2 linked regions of the Astyanax mexicanus genome follow. The protein of the gene in region 1 binds, or shares a complex with, the protein of each later gene. Links are inferred from orthologs where the notes say so. Each region holds a gene or a part of one and is shown on either strand. Other genes may lie near its edges.

Region 1 (7,307 bases):
CCTAGGAGTGGTCACTTCACGCTACAAGTTTCAAGCATCTATCATTTAAATTCAAACATACAATCAAAACACACAAACACACAATAATTAAAAGGTGATGTGCACCTACCTGTCCAACACAGACAAAGAGTGAAAAGATTATTGTCCCCAGCCTAGAAAGAATAGAGGTTCATGTTACTCTTACTTAGGGCTGGACGATATGATACAAATATTATATAACAATATGTGATACTGTATTTATCTTGAAAACAATGCACAATGTTCGCAAAAATGAATTAGTAACACAAGATCCTTTAAACACCATTTTACCATGCTACGTACAGTGATGTGTATTTAAAACATACTGCAATGGAAAGCATTTATTTAAGTAATAAAGCTACAAACTCCTAAAAGATGAAAATACATCATAAAATAGATTATTTTAATCTTACCATGATCAGCAGAAGCACTGTTTTAATCAATAATTAAACTGACATGCCAAAAAGCATGGTGGAAACCGTGTAAGTTTTAACTCCGGGGACAGACTGGGAACACTAACACTGACACTTGTGTGGGCATTTAACATTCCTTGATCCACAGTGCCGTGTGTACGATGTCAATGTATAACATCAATTACAAGATATTCAGTAATTTGTATTCAGCAACTTTTTATTCACTGTAGACTGAACTTTTTACTGGTACAAAACACAAAAGAGTGTGCTCACCTGATGCCAAAAACTCTGTCCAGTAGAAAGCCTCCCAGAAAACAGAGGACTACATTGGGCCATGAGTACCAGGCATAAAGCTGCATAAAGCTGGAGGTGTTTAGTCCCATATCCTGCAGACAAAGTGAGAGAGAAAGATAATCAAACCAAAATCACAAATTACCAAGAGTGCCATGTTTAGTTACAGACTTTGGACTATGTAACTTTATAACTTGCTGGAAGAAACATCTGAGTGGACGCCATATGTAATGGATGTAGCTGGATCCTAACTTTAATCAGAAATGGTCGCACTATGGATAGGCAGACTCTCTCTTAAAAGCTGGATGCTGGAGGTGCTGGATGATGTAACATTACATTTAATGGATAGTGTGTAGTTATTAACATAATAAAGAATAATTATTTAAATGTAATGCTAATTCTAAACTACAAAGTACTCAGCAGCTGAGGCAATGGACCATTAACCCGTCCCTTGTACGCTGTGCTTTTAGATCTTTGTCGTGCCAGTATCAGATTGTAGCTGTTGCTGTGTTCTGATTACACAACTCTGAAATGTAAATGATTGTGTACCCATTTTGTACCCAATTTTGTACCCATTTGTGTACCCAAGTAGACTGCCATGGTTGATTGTATGCTGATATGGTCCAGACTAAGAAGTGTTTTGTCTATGTTCTTGGAAGTATTTTGTCACAGTATGGTTTCATTTTCACTTTAGGTCTGAGTACTTAGCAGGGGAGCATAAACATACACTGTTATGCTGAGCTTCTGGATTCTTGTTGAATCGGTATCAGATTCTAGCTGTCGTGGTTTTTGTTGTTTGTTGGGTGAATAACAATACATCCTTGCTAAGCCCTATATGTAACTCTAGTAGTTAGGTGCAGAGTTTACCATCTTCCTGTATTATGTTACTTACATAAAACTACTCTGAATCACCCAGCAAAGAAGCTCACATATATTGCAGTTATACAATGACCAAAATCTCTAGAAACAATTCACACAATACAAATCAGTGCTCACTATGCGGAGGGCACCAAAAAAATCAGTCTTGTGAAAAATCATCATAAAAATAATGATCATAATCAGGGGTGTCACAAGGCCTGGACTTCCAGGGCCACAAAAAAATTAAACAAGCCCTGAATGTAGGGTGACAAGTGGTCCAGTGGCGCTCTTTACCCTCATCATTCCAATGGGTGATATCACTCAACACAAGGCGTCTGTGAGCTGATGTATCGTGAAAGAGTCGCTGCACTTTCCTCCGAGCACACTGTGGTGCTGCTCTGAAATGCTGCATCAGAAACAGTGGCAGTGGCTGACTTAAAATGTGTAGGCATGTGCTAGTCTTCACCCTTCTGGTGTTGGGGCAACACCAATGATAGGGTGAGTCCTAATGCGTGGTTTGGCTAATTGGCCTAATACAGCTTTTGGGACACAGCCATCTTTGCTGCTGCCTAGTTTAGCTAGTGTTTTATCAAAACATTAATATTAAAGAGTAATTTTTAATTCAAATCATTTTGTGCCTAGGACACACAAATGACTAGCAAACTAAAGTGACAAAATTATTTAGAGAAAAAACGAGTAAGAATAGGGAAGCAAATGAAATATTTGCATATAAAGAGGAACAGCAGCTCAATACAAATCACAATAAAGCTATTCTACACAATAAAAGTCCTTTGACCTGTATGACTTGTTTCTGAAGAGCTGCTGGATTGTCATAGCAGAAGTAGCTACCTGTAAAATAAAAGGACATTAAGCTGTTAAATTCCGACATAGATTTTTACTTTAATACACAGTGTGGAAGTAATACAAAAAACCGTTTCGTAGCACAACTGTTCTAGTTATTTAGCAGCAGTGTTTCTGTAGTTAACGTTAGCTAACTAGCTAACAGCTGATTTAACGTTACTTCTGCACAGTGTAGCTAGCCACACTTACTACACTGAATAACACATTTAATACAGCCTAATGATACGGAGTCAGCTGAATGTAAACAAAGGACTTTTAAGCTAGTTTGCTGGTGTTACTGAAGCTAAAAACAACAGTGACGCGCCCGGAACCCCACTACCCCACTTACCGAAACCTAAAAAACACATAAACATCAGGACCAAGATCCGGTGCAGCAGGTGGCTCGGGTCCAGCAGAGGATGCATCCGCCTTGTGTTTCTCCCCTCATGATTATTTTCATCTAAAAGCCTCTCGTCTTCTTCTAATCCCGCCATTCTCCTCCCTATGTTAAAACAGCAGCTCTCTCATACAGCAGCTCTACAGCAGAGCCGTGCGGATCCTGAGTCATGTGACTGCACACTCAGGAGTCATATGACTACGAACAGTTTCAGTTTTATATCCGGAAATAGTTAAGTTCTACAGTATAATGTGTGTTTAATGTATGTAAAATGTATTATCTTTTGTGAAGTGCATTTTTAATGTATGTAAAATGATTTTTTTAAGTATAGTTTAAGTAAAAATACATGTTTCTAAGTATAGTGTTTGTTTTATGTATGTAAAATGTATTTTATTTAGTATATTGCAAGTAAACATACATGTTCCTAAGTTTAATGTTTGTTTAATGTATATAAAATGTATTTTCTTTAGTAAAGTTTCAGTAAAAATACAAGTTACTAAGTATAATGTGTGTTTAATGTATGTTCTTCAGTGGAGTGCATTTTTAATATATGTAAAATGAAATTTCTTTCGTATAGTTTAAGTAAAAAAACATGTTTCTAAGTATAGTGTTTGTTTTATGTATATAAAATGTATTTTCTTCAGTAAAGTTTAAGTAAATATACAAGTTATTAAGTATAATGCATGTTTAATGTGTGTAAAATGTTTTTTTCTTTAGTATATTGTAAGTAAACATACATGTTCTTAAGTATAAAGTTTGTTTAATGCATATAAAATATATGTTCTATAGTATGTGTTTAATGTATGTAAAAAATATATGTTCTACAGTATGATGTGTGTTAAATATACGTGAAAGTTTTGATTTTTTTATTATAATGTGTGTTTAATGTATGTAAAATGTAACGTATGTTCTTCAGTATAATGTATTTTCTTTAGTATATTGTAAGTAAACATACATGTCCCTAAGTATAAAGTTTGTTTAATGTATATAAATTGCATGTTCTTCAGTATAATGTATGTTGAATGTATATTCTTTTATATAATGTATATTTGATGTGTATAAAGTACAAGAGACTCAGACTTAAAAGTACAAGTGTCCTTTAATCACCACACGTAAGTGTGGTAAGGTAGTTTATTTTACTGAAAGTAAAAGTACAGTATTGGAAAGCAGTGGAAAGTTTGCAGAGTGAAAGGCAAGACGGGAACAGTGTGAATTTCTTATAGGGTCAGCTCGATTGCTTGGTCTTTGAGGCCCAATGCCTTTAGTTTTCCCTGCTTCCAACACACCTGTTCATACTATTTAGCTTATTAACAGCCCATTATTGAAGTGGGTGTGCAGGACAGGAAAATGTTCCTGTGGTAATTTGATAAATATTCTACCTAGAAGTATTTTGGGCCATTACAAGTCTATAGAGGTCTTGGTTGTTGTTGTTAACCTTCCTTTCTATTTGATTTGTGACTGGGGTTTATAAAAGCCAGTATTCACATCTGTAAGCTGATATGTTTGGCAGATGTCACCTTCATGTTGTGAATTTGACAGTTTGACCTTAAATGCACATTCTGTCACTGCCCATCAATCAGTGTTTGTGAGTAGAGCCCTGGCAACAGCCTTTTTATGAGAAAGAAATACAATTACATCAACAGAGTAGATATCTTACCTCACCTTACCCAACATTTATCTTCTATATTCCTACTCCAACCTGTGTATCACACAAAATGCAAACATCTACATTTAATAAACATTTTATTAGGGGTGTAAATGGTTACAGAATGACATTATACCATAAACCATATTGTTTTAGCATCAAATCCAGGTCCTGTTTAGTATCTGACGATAGTTGTCTTCAGGTTTGAATGGTGTGATGATCTGGGTAGTAATACTAGGGACACTAACAGTTTAATGATATGTGCGTGACATCCTGCAGCCACAAGGGTTGCCTCATATGGCAGGGCTTCCAACTTTCATTTTTCAGCAGGATAATGCTCCAACTTATACAGCAAAGGTTTTATAGGAATATCTCCACCAGATTGCAACACTTCCTTTGCCAATCAAGCACTTATCCAGCCGGAACAAGTGTGTACACAAAATGCATACCTACATAAACACATATACTGTATATACACAATGTAATAAAGATTTCTCAAGGATAAATAAATAAGAAACAAATCTCCAGTGACCTCATAAATACACTTGTCAAGGTCACAGGCCGAAAATCACTACATCCCCTGGGGCATGATTTCTTAGTAGCAGGGGCACATATGTCCCCCAGGCTGTTGGTGCCATATGTGCATCCAGTGCATTCATTTCTGAAGGATGGGTTGACTCTTTATTGAAATATTTCCAGAGAAGGGCATGGAAGCCATCTGGTCCTGCGGTTTTAAGAGCATTAGGATGTCTAAAAGACTTAGACCCATACAGGTAACTGACATCTCAATTATTTAATCAAATATTCAGTTCATTATCTAGGGAAACTGGTCACATAGTGCTGGAATAAAGTGCTCAGGCTGGTTATGCTGCTTTAAAAGCTTGGTTATGGTTGTTGGTTAACGTGGCCATAGTGGTTGACCAACTTGGTCACAATGGTCATGCTATTCGACCAGCCTGCTTATAATGGTCATGCTTGTTAACATCCTTGTTCATTCTGCTAATATCTGCTCATGCTCGTCATTCAGCTTGGTCATGGTAATTGACCAGCGTGGCCATCATGGTTGATCTATGTGCTGGTTATCCATTTTAGTCAAGACTGGTCAACCATCTTGATTAACATTTGTCAACCATCTTGGTATTCACTGGTTAACCATCTTGGTAATGGTGGCCCATGTACATAGTCACAGTGGTCATGCTGGGCAACCAATGTGCTCATAATGGTCACCAAATATGGTTACAATGGTCATTGTGGTCAACCTACAGGCTCATGATGCTCGTGATGGTCAACAACCTTAGTCATTCCTGTCACCCAGCAGGGTCACAGTCAGTGATGGTATAGTTACTTTGAAAAAGTAATCCGATTACTGATTACTCCTTTAAAAAGTAACTTAGTTACTTTATGGATTACTTGATTTTAAAAGTAACTAAGTTACTTTACAAGTTACTTTAAGCAGCTGCACACACCACGTCCCGCCGCCTTAACATAAAAATTATAACCAGTTTTGCCAATACTCCCTTTATTGGAAAAAGCATTTTTAACAGCATCAATGTATCTCTAGACATTTAAAGTTGAACTATTTATTTTTATAAAATTAAAAGACCATTTCTCTTGAATTAACTTAACATAAATATTTTTTTTTATAAAAAATAAAATATGGTCTTTCTTGATTTCACTTAACATAAATACTTGTTTTTATAAAAAAAATATAAAATAAAGAAAGTCTTTCTTGACCTGACATATTTAACACTGTAAAACTGAATATTGAACCTGTTGTTCTCTGCAGGGCAGCAAGGAGTGGTTTGATAAAACAAAACCGTGTATATGGTCGAGGCCAGGGATCACATATATGCAGACTGCGGTCAGACGTTGTCCAATGCGGACCCAAACCGATAAACTACTGAGAAGGATTTAATTTTGACAGTGTTCATTTAAAGCGTCAGAACTTTTCTTGTCTTTACGGTATACGCACTCTGCGGCATGGGAAACTCACAGACCAATCACGTGTGGTGTAAAATCTTCAAACGCTCTCCTCTGCCAATCAGATCTGTGCAGACCGCTGCCCTGGCTAGTGAATTGGGACGTGGCCGGGAAAACCCGCCTTTATAAAGAGATAGGGAGCCCGAGAACTGGCGGAAAAACGAGAATGGGCGGAAACTAAAAACACGCCGAGCGCGAGAGAGAGAGAGACAGGGGAGAAAGCGAGACGCGTGTGATTGGGGGAGAGCGGAGGGGGATGGGGAAGGGAACGCGGTGTGTGTGTGTGTGTGTGAGGTGGAGAGAGAGAGAGAGAGAGAGAGCGAGAGTAACGCACAGTGACTTGGATAAGTAACTTTAATCTGATTACTGGATTGGAAATAGTAACGAGTTAGATTACTCGTTACTGAAAAAAAGAGTCAGATTAGAGTAACGCGTTAATAACATCACTGCTTGGGACCCTGTGTCAGCGTGAGGCTGCCGTAAAAAAAAAATGCCTTTTTAATTTATTTAGACAGCAGTCATATTCATATTGTTCTACCCAGCTACTGATGCATCTGTAACTCTTTACAATCAGGGTAAAAAATAACAGTACTTACGACTGTAATCAGGGCCGCCGCTCTGCATACGCAGACAACGCAGCCAGCGTTAGGCCTCAACCATTTTGCAGTTGCAGGGAGCCAAATTGACTGAGAATGAAATGACAGAATTATGACATTATTAAATTTAAAACCCAATGTGAATTATTTATGATACGCTCATCTTTTTTGTCTTTAAACATTGCATGGGGCACCTACTCTACTACTTAAAAGCAGCACGTTATTATTTTTGTGCATAATATAATGCCCCCACCCCTATTGCCTGAAAT
Region 2 (7,386 bases), on another chromosome or scaffold:
CTGTACAATCACTGTACACTGTACAATCACTGTACAATCACTGTACAATCACTGTACAATCACGGTAAGATTACTGTACGATCACTGTATGATCACTAAGATTACTCTACGATCACTGTACGATCACTACAATCACTGTACAATCACTGTACACTGTACAAGCACTGTACAATCACTGTAAGTTTACTGTACGATCACGGTAAGATTACTGTACGATCACTGTATGATCACTAAGATTACTCTACGATCACTGTACAATCACTACAATCACTGTACGATCACTGTACAAGCACTGTACAATCACGGTAAGATTACTGTACGATCACTGTACGATCACGGTACAATCACAGTAAGATTACTGTATGATCACTGTACACTGTACGATCACTGTACGATCACGGTACAATCACGGTACAATCACAGTAAGATTACTGTATGATCACTGTACACTGTACGATTGCTGTAAGATTACTGTACAATCACTGTACAATCACTGTACACTGTACAATCACTGTACAATCACTGTACAATCACTGTACAATCACGGTAAGATTACTGTACGATCACTGTATGATCACTAAGATTACTCTACGATCACTGTACGATCACTACAATCACTGTACAATCACTGTACACTGTACAAGCACTGTACAATCACTGTAAGTTTACTGTACGATCACGGTAAGATTACTGTACGATCACGGTAAGATTACTGTACGATCACTGTATGATCACTAAGATTACTCTACGATCACTGTACAATCACTACAATCACTGTACGATCACTGTACAAGCACTGTACAATCACGGTAAGATTACTGTACGATCACTGTACGATCACGGTACAATCACAGTAAGATTACTGTATGATCACTGTACACTGTACGATCACTGTACGATTGCTGTAAGATTACTGTACGATCACGGTACACTGTACGATCACTATACGTTTACTGTACGATCACTTTACCCCCCTCCCCCCTCACCTGCAGGCAGAGTGAAGCGTTGCTGAAGGCGGAGCTGCTGTCCCTCCCACAGAGCAGGGTGGAGTGGTGCGTGTAGTCCAGGGTGCTGTTCATTTCACTCCAGGTGAAGTTCTGAAGGTCGTAAGGGGGGAGAAAGCTGGACTCGGGGAGATCCTGAGGGTCTGCAGTGTTGTTTACATCATCATATTCCAGCAGCTGAGACCAAAATCAATACACAGATTTCTCACACTCCAGTTCATCACAGAAACGTCTCAGTCTCAGATTACACTGCTATGCTAACGGCTAGGCTAACAGATAAAATTCCATCTGGTTCCATAACCTACCTGTTGTTAAAAGTATTCGGATACTTAGCTGGACTACATTTGTTAATATAAAAATGACTTATAGATTTACATATATTTGACTGTTAACTTAATATTTCTAATTGAAATTTAAAACTGATGTGATTTCAACGTTATGTAATGTTAACAGGTGATTATAATCCTGACTTTATAAAGCAGGAAAAAAGCTGATAGCTGACTTAAGACATGTTTGCCTGAAGTATTTGACAAAATATGGAATGTGTATCAGATTTGAAATGCAAACATGGATGTATATTAATCAATAAAATTGAGTTAGAAGTTTAGTTAAAATATAAAATATCTTCATGCTATCTGTAATCAAACAAAAGTTATTAAATATAAGTTAGTAAATGTAGGAAACACTGGATTTTTAATGTGTTTCCCGAACTGTCATAACGTATGGTCTTCGGGGTTGTAGTCTCTGTGTAAAGTGTAATTTGGGTAGGACAGGGATGTTAAGATATAAACTCTCAATTTTCTAAAAGTGAAACAAACCAGTTGAAACCCTTTGAGAATAACTGGATCCTAAATTGTGACCAGTATGAAACTGAAGCTGGTCTCACCCTGGAGAAGACCAGGGCGCTGCTGTACCGCACGCTGCTCTCCGGCTCCACCCGCACGCTGCCCGGGGTGCGGTTGAGGAAGGCGGTCCAGTTGACGTGGATAAGGGACTCGGTGGAGTTGGTGTGAACCAGCAGAACTGCAGGAGCTCCGTTGCTGCTGAGGAGGAGGTGCAGGGTGTCGTTTTCACCCAGCGCCCGGACATGCAGCAGGTCCACGCCGGGGGACGGTGTCTTCTGTCCAGGGTTCAGCTCCAGAGACACCTGAGGGACAGAGACATCCAACACAATCAAATCAATAATAATAATAATAATAATAATAATAAATAATAATAATAATAATAATAATAATAATAATAATAATAATAATAATAAAAAAAAAATAATAATAATTATAAATTGAGTGTTCACACATCCTTTTCACACATATTACCATTTTCTTATTAACATATGGAAGAAATCTTCCTTTAATTGTTGAATTATCTCACCTTCATGTTTATTTTTTGTTCACTGTTCACATATTTAAAAAGAAAGCTTTATCATTATGTATTTAAAATGTTTTAAAGCTGTTGGGAATGAAGGAGTTAAACTTGTGAATCAAAACAGAAGTGAATCTCATTAATGCAGCAACAACTTCCCTAAAACTGGAGCCAAACCCAACCGTTTATTCTTATTAATACTAATAATACTACTAATACTAATACTAATACTAATAATAATAATAATAATAATCAGCATAACAATCATACCCTGACTTTAGTTTTATATAAAACCATTTATAAATATAAAATGGCCTTTAATAAACGTTTAAAAAACTTTAATAAAGAGTTTTTTTTATAGCAGGAGATCAGAACTGCAGGTTTTTGATTAGAATATTAATATATTTATGATTTTAAGGCGTTTTGGTTTGTTTTGGTCGCTCGAGGTTCAGCAGTTTCTATTAAACTCAATCAAAAAACAATCAGAATAATTTATTAAACTTCACCTTCCGCCGGAAATCATCTCCGCCCCACAGGACTCCGCGCGCGGCGCAGATCAATAAAATATTAATAAAAATCTGAATTTTATCCATAATTTACCCTCCGCTCCACTGCAGTCTCACGAGCCAGTCAGCTGACCCTTCAAAATACAAGTCCCGCTGCGCGCGCACATGCAGCAAAATAAAAGTCCAACGGAAACGTGAGAAATAATAATAATAATAATAATAATAATAATAATAATAATAATAATAATAATAATAATAGGTTTAGATTAAACATTTTTTAAATGTAATAATTAGTCAGATCTGTGTAAGTGTGTCTGGATCGTTGGACCTTAATCTCTGAAGCACTTCCTGTAAACAGTGAGTCAGTTTGGTTGGTTCCAATTCCACATTATTATTGAACCCCCAGAAATTTCACTCATTATTTTCCAAATAAGTTAAAGGTTCCTGAGGACAGAATTCTCCTGTATTAAAATAATCCTGATCCAGAACCTGAGTTCCTGATCCGGCAATTATCGGGTTAAAACACTTCATATAAAGATTTTAGATCTCAGAGGATCATCGATCAGATCCTTTATCTGAATCTAATTTTTTTTTAATCCTACTTATAAAAATCTATTCTTACGTCAGTTTAAACCACACTAGTGTTTATTTAACACTAGACTGTACTGAATGATGGTGCTGATGGTCTGATTTATGTTCCTGTAGCGTCATCTAGTGGCCATTTAATAGAACTGCTCTGCAGCACAGCTTCATCCTCTGCTCTAAATTCAGAATCTACACATTTCTCCATTATTTACACACGAATACAAGGAACACCTTGTTATTCTAATCTATAAAGTTAATTACCCTGCTGTTTACACTGACTGGTCACATGATCAAACACACAACACACAGATTTGCAATCAGCAATCAGAGCTTCAGCATGAAAAAGAAATATGTGAGTTTAGATAAAGTAGAGCAGGAACAGTGTAGCATCATCCATCACCTGGACTTTCAGAAATAAGTATAGATAATGAATCTGCTCTCATTGTTAAACTGCAGTACTGTATTTTAATACAGTGTCATTGAGTACTGTAGGACAGTATTACATGTGGACTGTTCTGTATTTTCAGTTATTTGTGAAATATATTCATACTTTGTGTTCGTACAAATGTACACTGATGTACACTGTCTACATTGTTTTGTGGAAAAATAAAAAATATATATTTTTTACTGTGTATTTGTGTTTTCTATATTATCAAATGTTTTACAAAACAATTATGTATGAGCTGTCTGTAGTAAAGTGTAACACTGAACATAAAAAGGTGTGTGTGTGTGAGAGTGTGTGTGTGTGTGTGTGTGTTTGGTGAAGCGGCTCTGTGTATCTGCCAGAAGGCCTGATGTGGTTACTGTAGATGTGGAGGGTAAATCTGTGTTTCTGATTGAAGCTGCTGTTTTGACTCATCAGTGGAAGAAGCTTTTTGTACACAGATTGTGTAATACCAGCCGCTCGTAGAGTTTATTAATAGTTTAAGTTTAAATGTTCTCTGATTGTGATTATTTTAGGAAGCCTCGGTCGCGTACACCGATTGGCTGTTAGAGGCCTGCAGATCCTCTGCTTCTCTAAGACTAGAGCCAAACGGTTAGCGAGATATTGTTCTATATCTGCAATAATTGGAAGTCGACATATTTGAAGAAAGAGAGGTTTTGTGTATCAATAAAGGCATATGTAAATAAAAAAAACTGATGCTGCATGGTCATGTACTGCTGTTGGATGATGCATTTAAAAAGATTTGGGTCTTTTAATTTTGTATTTTGTAGGCCTAAATAAATGTGTTAAATGTGTCTATGTGTGAGAGTGTGTGTATCAGTGTGTGTGTGTGTGTGAGAGTGTGTGTGTGTGTGTTTGTGTGTGTGTGAGAGTTTGTGTGTCTGTATGTGTGTGTGTGTCTGTGTATGTGTTGTGTGTGTGTGTGTGTAAGAGAGAGCACCTGAGAGTCTTTAATTGACAGTTTGGAGGGAAATTAAGTGGGAATGAAAGTAGCAGATTGCTCTATAAAAAGGATCATTGCTGGTAAAATCTTACCAAAGCGGTTTGGGATCACCAATGTGGTTCTAGTGTTTTTTGGGTTAACCATACTTTGGGTCCAACCTATACCAAGGCAGTCAAGCCGGTCAAGTTTGTTGTCCAACTGAAACGTCTGGGGTCACCTGCAGAGTTTTGTGCCACATAAGCCTAGGTCCTTCCATCCGACCATCCAGAGGTCTGAAATCGCAGTATGTTGTCCAACTAGAACCTCTGGGGTCGCCTGCAGTGTTTTGTGTATCAGAAACCTCCGTAGGCCAAACTCCGTCCCACAAACTCCAAGAGGTCCGACATTGCAGGCAGTTGTCAATGACACAAAACTCGGCAGGCGACCCGGGGGAAAGGAGTTTGGCCTACAGAGGTTTCTGACGCACGAAACTCAGCAGAGTATCCCAGGAGTGCAACATTGATTTCAGACGTCTGAGTGTTCGGGGGAAGGAGTTTGGCCTACGGTGTCTTCTGTGACATGAAAACTCAGCAGGTGCCATTTGGACAACATACTGCTATTTCAGGCCTCTCAGTGGTCAGGGGAAGGAGTTTGGCCTATGGTGTCTTCTTTGATATGCAAACTCAGCAAACAACTCCACAGGTGTCATTTGGACAACATACTTTTCAGACGTCTGAGTGTTTGGGGAAAGGAGTTTGGCCTACTGTGTCTTCTGTGACATGAAAACTCAGCAGGAAACTCCACAGGTGCCAGTTGGACAATCAGTGTTGGGAGTAATGGCGTTAAAACTAACGGCATTACTAATACCGTTACTTCTTTTCAGTAACGAGTAATCTAACTAATTACTATGACTGTAATTATAACGCCGTTACCGTTTCCGACACCCGTTACTGCACGTTACTTTAGCCGCTCTATGAACTTTTTTTTTTTTTTTAACTTCGCTTTGCCCTGGTTAACCCCTCCTCTTTCCGGTAAACTTGAGCTTCTGGCCGCTGTGCCTGTGGTTTGGCGTGGTGAAGTGAGGCACATTTGCTGCTCTAATCAATTCAGTGATTGCCGTGGACAGCCCAAGTTCTGAATTAAGGACGTTAAGCTCTTTTTAGCTGCTCCGGTTTTTGTGGTGCTGCTGCTTTCTCTTTTAGAGCTTATAGATTCTCTGCCCGAACCCGACCTGACCCGAGGACCGACCCGAAATCGGGCTCCTATTTTTATTTTATATAAAGCTCTGATGTGATAATCACAATGTTGCTAAGTAACCAATTATTATTGTTCACTAAAGCGAACGAAATACCGAAAACTGAAAGTGAAAAACATTTGTGTTAACTGAATCTAATAAAAACGGTAATTAAAAGGAAAAAAACAGAACTATCTCGAACTGTATTTTGTGTTTATAAAACTAACTAAAACGAACTGAAATTACTGATAGAATATCCTCATTTCGTGTTTAATTTATTTATAAGCGCTGTTGTACAGCGGAGTTGTACAGCGGGAGTTGTTGTGCCGAGCGCACGGCACTCGTGGTCCGTTAGTTCTTGTAACTAAATACGACAGAAAACACTGAGAAACTGCAGAACTATGTATGGGATTACAATATGAGCACCAGGCAGATAAAAGAGAAACAGGAGATACAGTGTGAAAACATTTACCTGTGAGTAGCTCATACCAGAACAAGCAAATATCTCTCTCTCTCTCTCTCTCTCTCTCTCTCTTTCTCTCTCACGTTTATTAGATTGATCTCTCTGATGAGTGTGATGTGTGAAAACTAATAAAAACTAGCAAGCCCACCCTAAAAACTTACTGAACAGAAAAAATAAATAAATAACTAAAATTAAACTATAATAAAAATGAAAAATGCGTTTGACTTGCAGCATTGTGTGTAGCTGTTCTTAAAAATTATTTAAATTAAATAATAGTTCTATGCTTTTATGTTACAGTGTTAATTAACATAATTCTGATTATATTTCTCTCATTCAATCAGCCCGAAAACAGACAGTTTATGGGGCGGATCGGGTCAGGCTCGGGCTCATAATGACAGTTCATGGTTCGGGCTGGGTCGGGTCGGATTTTTTGGGCCCGATCTAAGCTCTATTCTCTTTTAAAAACGGTCATTAGATTGATGTTTTTGTCCATTATTTTGTTTTATTTATATATACATATTTCCTTTGAGTGTGGCTTGGTTTGTTTAATTTCATCCTCAGACGCGTTTTTCCGTTTTTTTCGGTTTTTTTCAGTATTACAAGTTTTAGTAATTTTCTTTGGTTCTGTGGAGAATTTCGTTTTGTTTTTTTGAAATTCGTTAGATTATATTTTTGTCAACATTTTGGGTTAATTTTCGTTTGTTATTTTTCTAATAATAATAGTAAATGCATAATTGATTTCCTTTTTTTGACGGGCGAATAATAAAAAGTAACGCATAGTTACTTTTACTGGTAACTAGTTACTTTTATAGTGGAGTAACTCCGTTAGTAACTCAGTTACTTTTTTGGAGAAGTAACGAGTAAC

Evidence for each region.
Region 2: the proteins of mfsd1 (region 1) and glycosylated lysosomal membrane protein are in contact, whole or in part, in a cryo-EM structure (PDB 8R8Q), measured with the Mus musculus proteins. The link is inferred for Astyanax mexicanus from reciprocal best matches to the Homo sapiens genes MFSD1 and GLMP. Residues at the interface, in NP_080089.1 of Mus musculus: Val288, Glu292, Lys293, Arg295, Phe349, Phe351, Leu411, Asp412, Lys414, Gly415, Tyr416, Leu417, Leu418, Val421, Ile424, Ser428, Leu432, Val435, Leu439; in NP_064387.1 of Mus musculus: Glu250, Asn252, Ser253, Ile254, Asp255, Asp256, Glu257, Pro260, Ala261, Phe263, Gln264, Arg292, Phe364, Leu367, Val368, Ile371, Met372, Ala375, Ala378, Leu381, Met382, Gly385, Phe389.

The regions. Positions count from the first base shown.
Region 1 is NC_064411.1:42,770,016-42,777,322, forward strand, and holds the start of mfsd1 (major facilitator superfamily domain-containing protein 1), read right to left. Parts: upstream 3,003-7,307; 5' UTR 2,915-3,002; coding exon 2,770-2,914; intron 2,430-2,769; coding exon 2,377-2,429; intron 818-2,376; coding exon 705-817; intron 153-704; coding exon 110-152; intron 1-109. UniProt on the Homo sapiens protein: Lysosomal dipeptide uniporter that selectively exports lysine, arginine or histidine-containing dipeptides with a net positive charge from the lysosome lumen into the cytosol.
Region 2 is NW_026040049.1:40,307-47,692, reverse strand, and holds the start of glycosylated lysosomal membrane protein, read right to left. Parts: upstream 3,019-7,386; 5' UTR 2,960-3,018; coding exon 2,873-2,959; intron 2,152-2,872; coding exon 1,891-2,151; intron 1,182-1,890; coding exon 987-1,181; intron 1-986. UniProt on the Homo sapiens protein: Required to protect lysosomal transporter MFSD1 from lysosomal proteolysis and for MFSD1 lysosomal localization.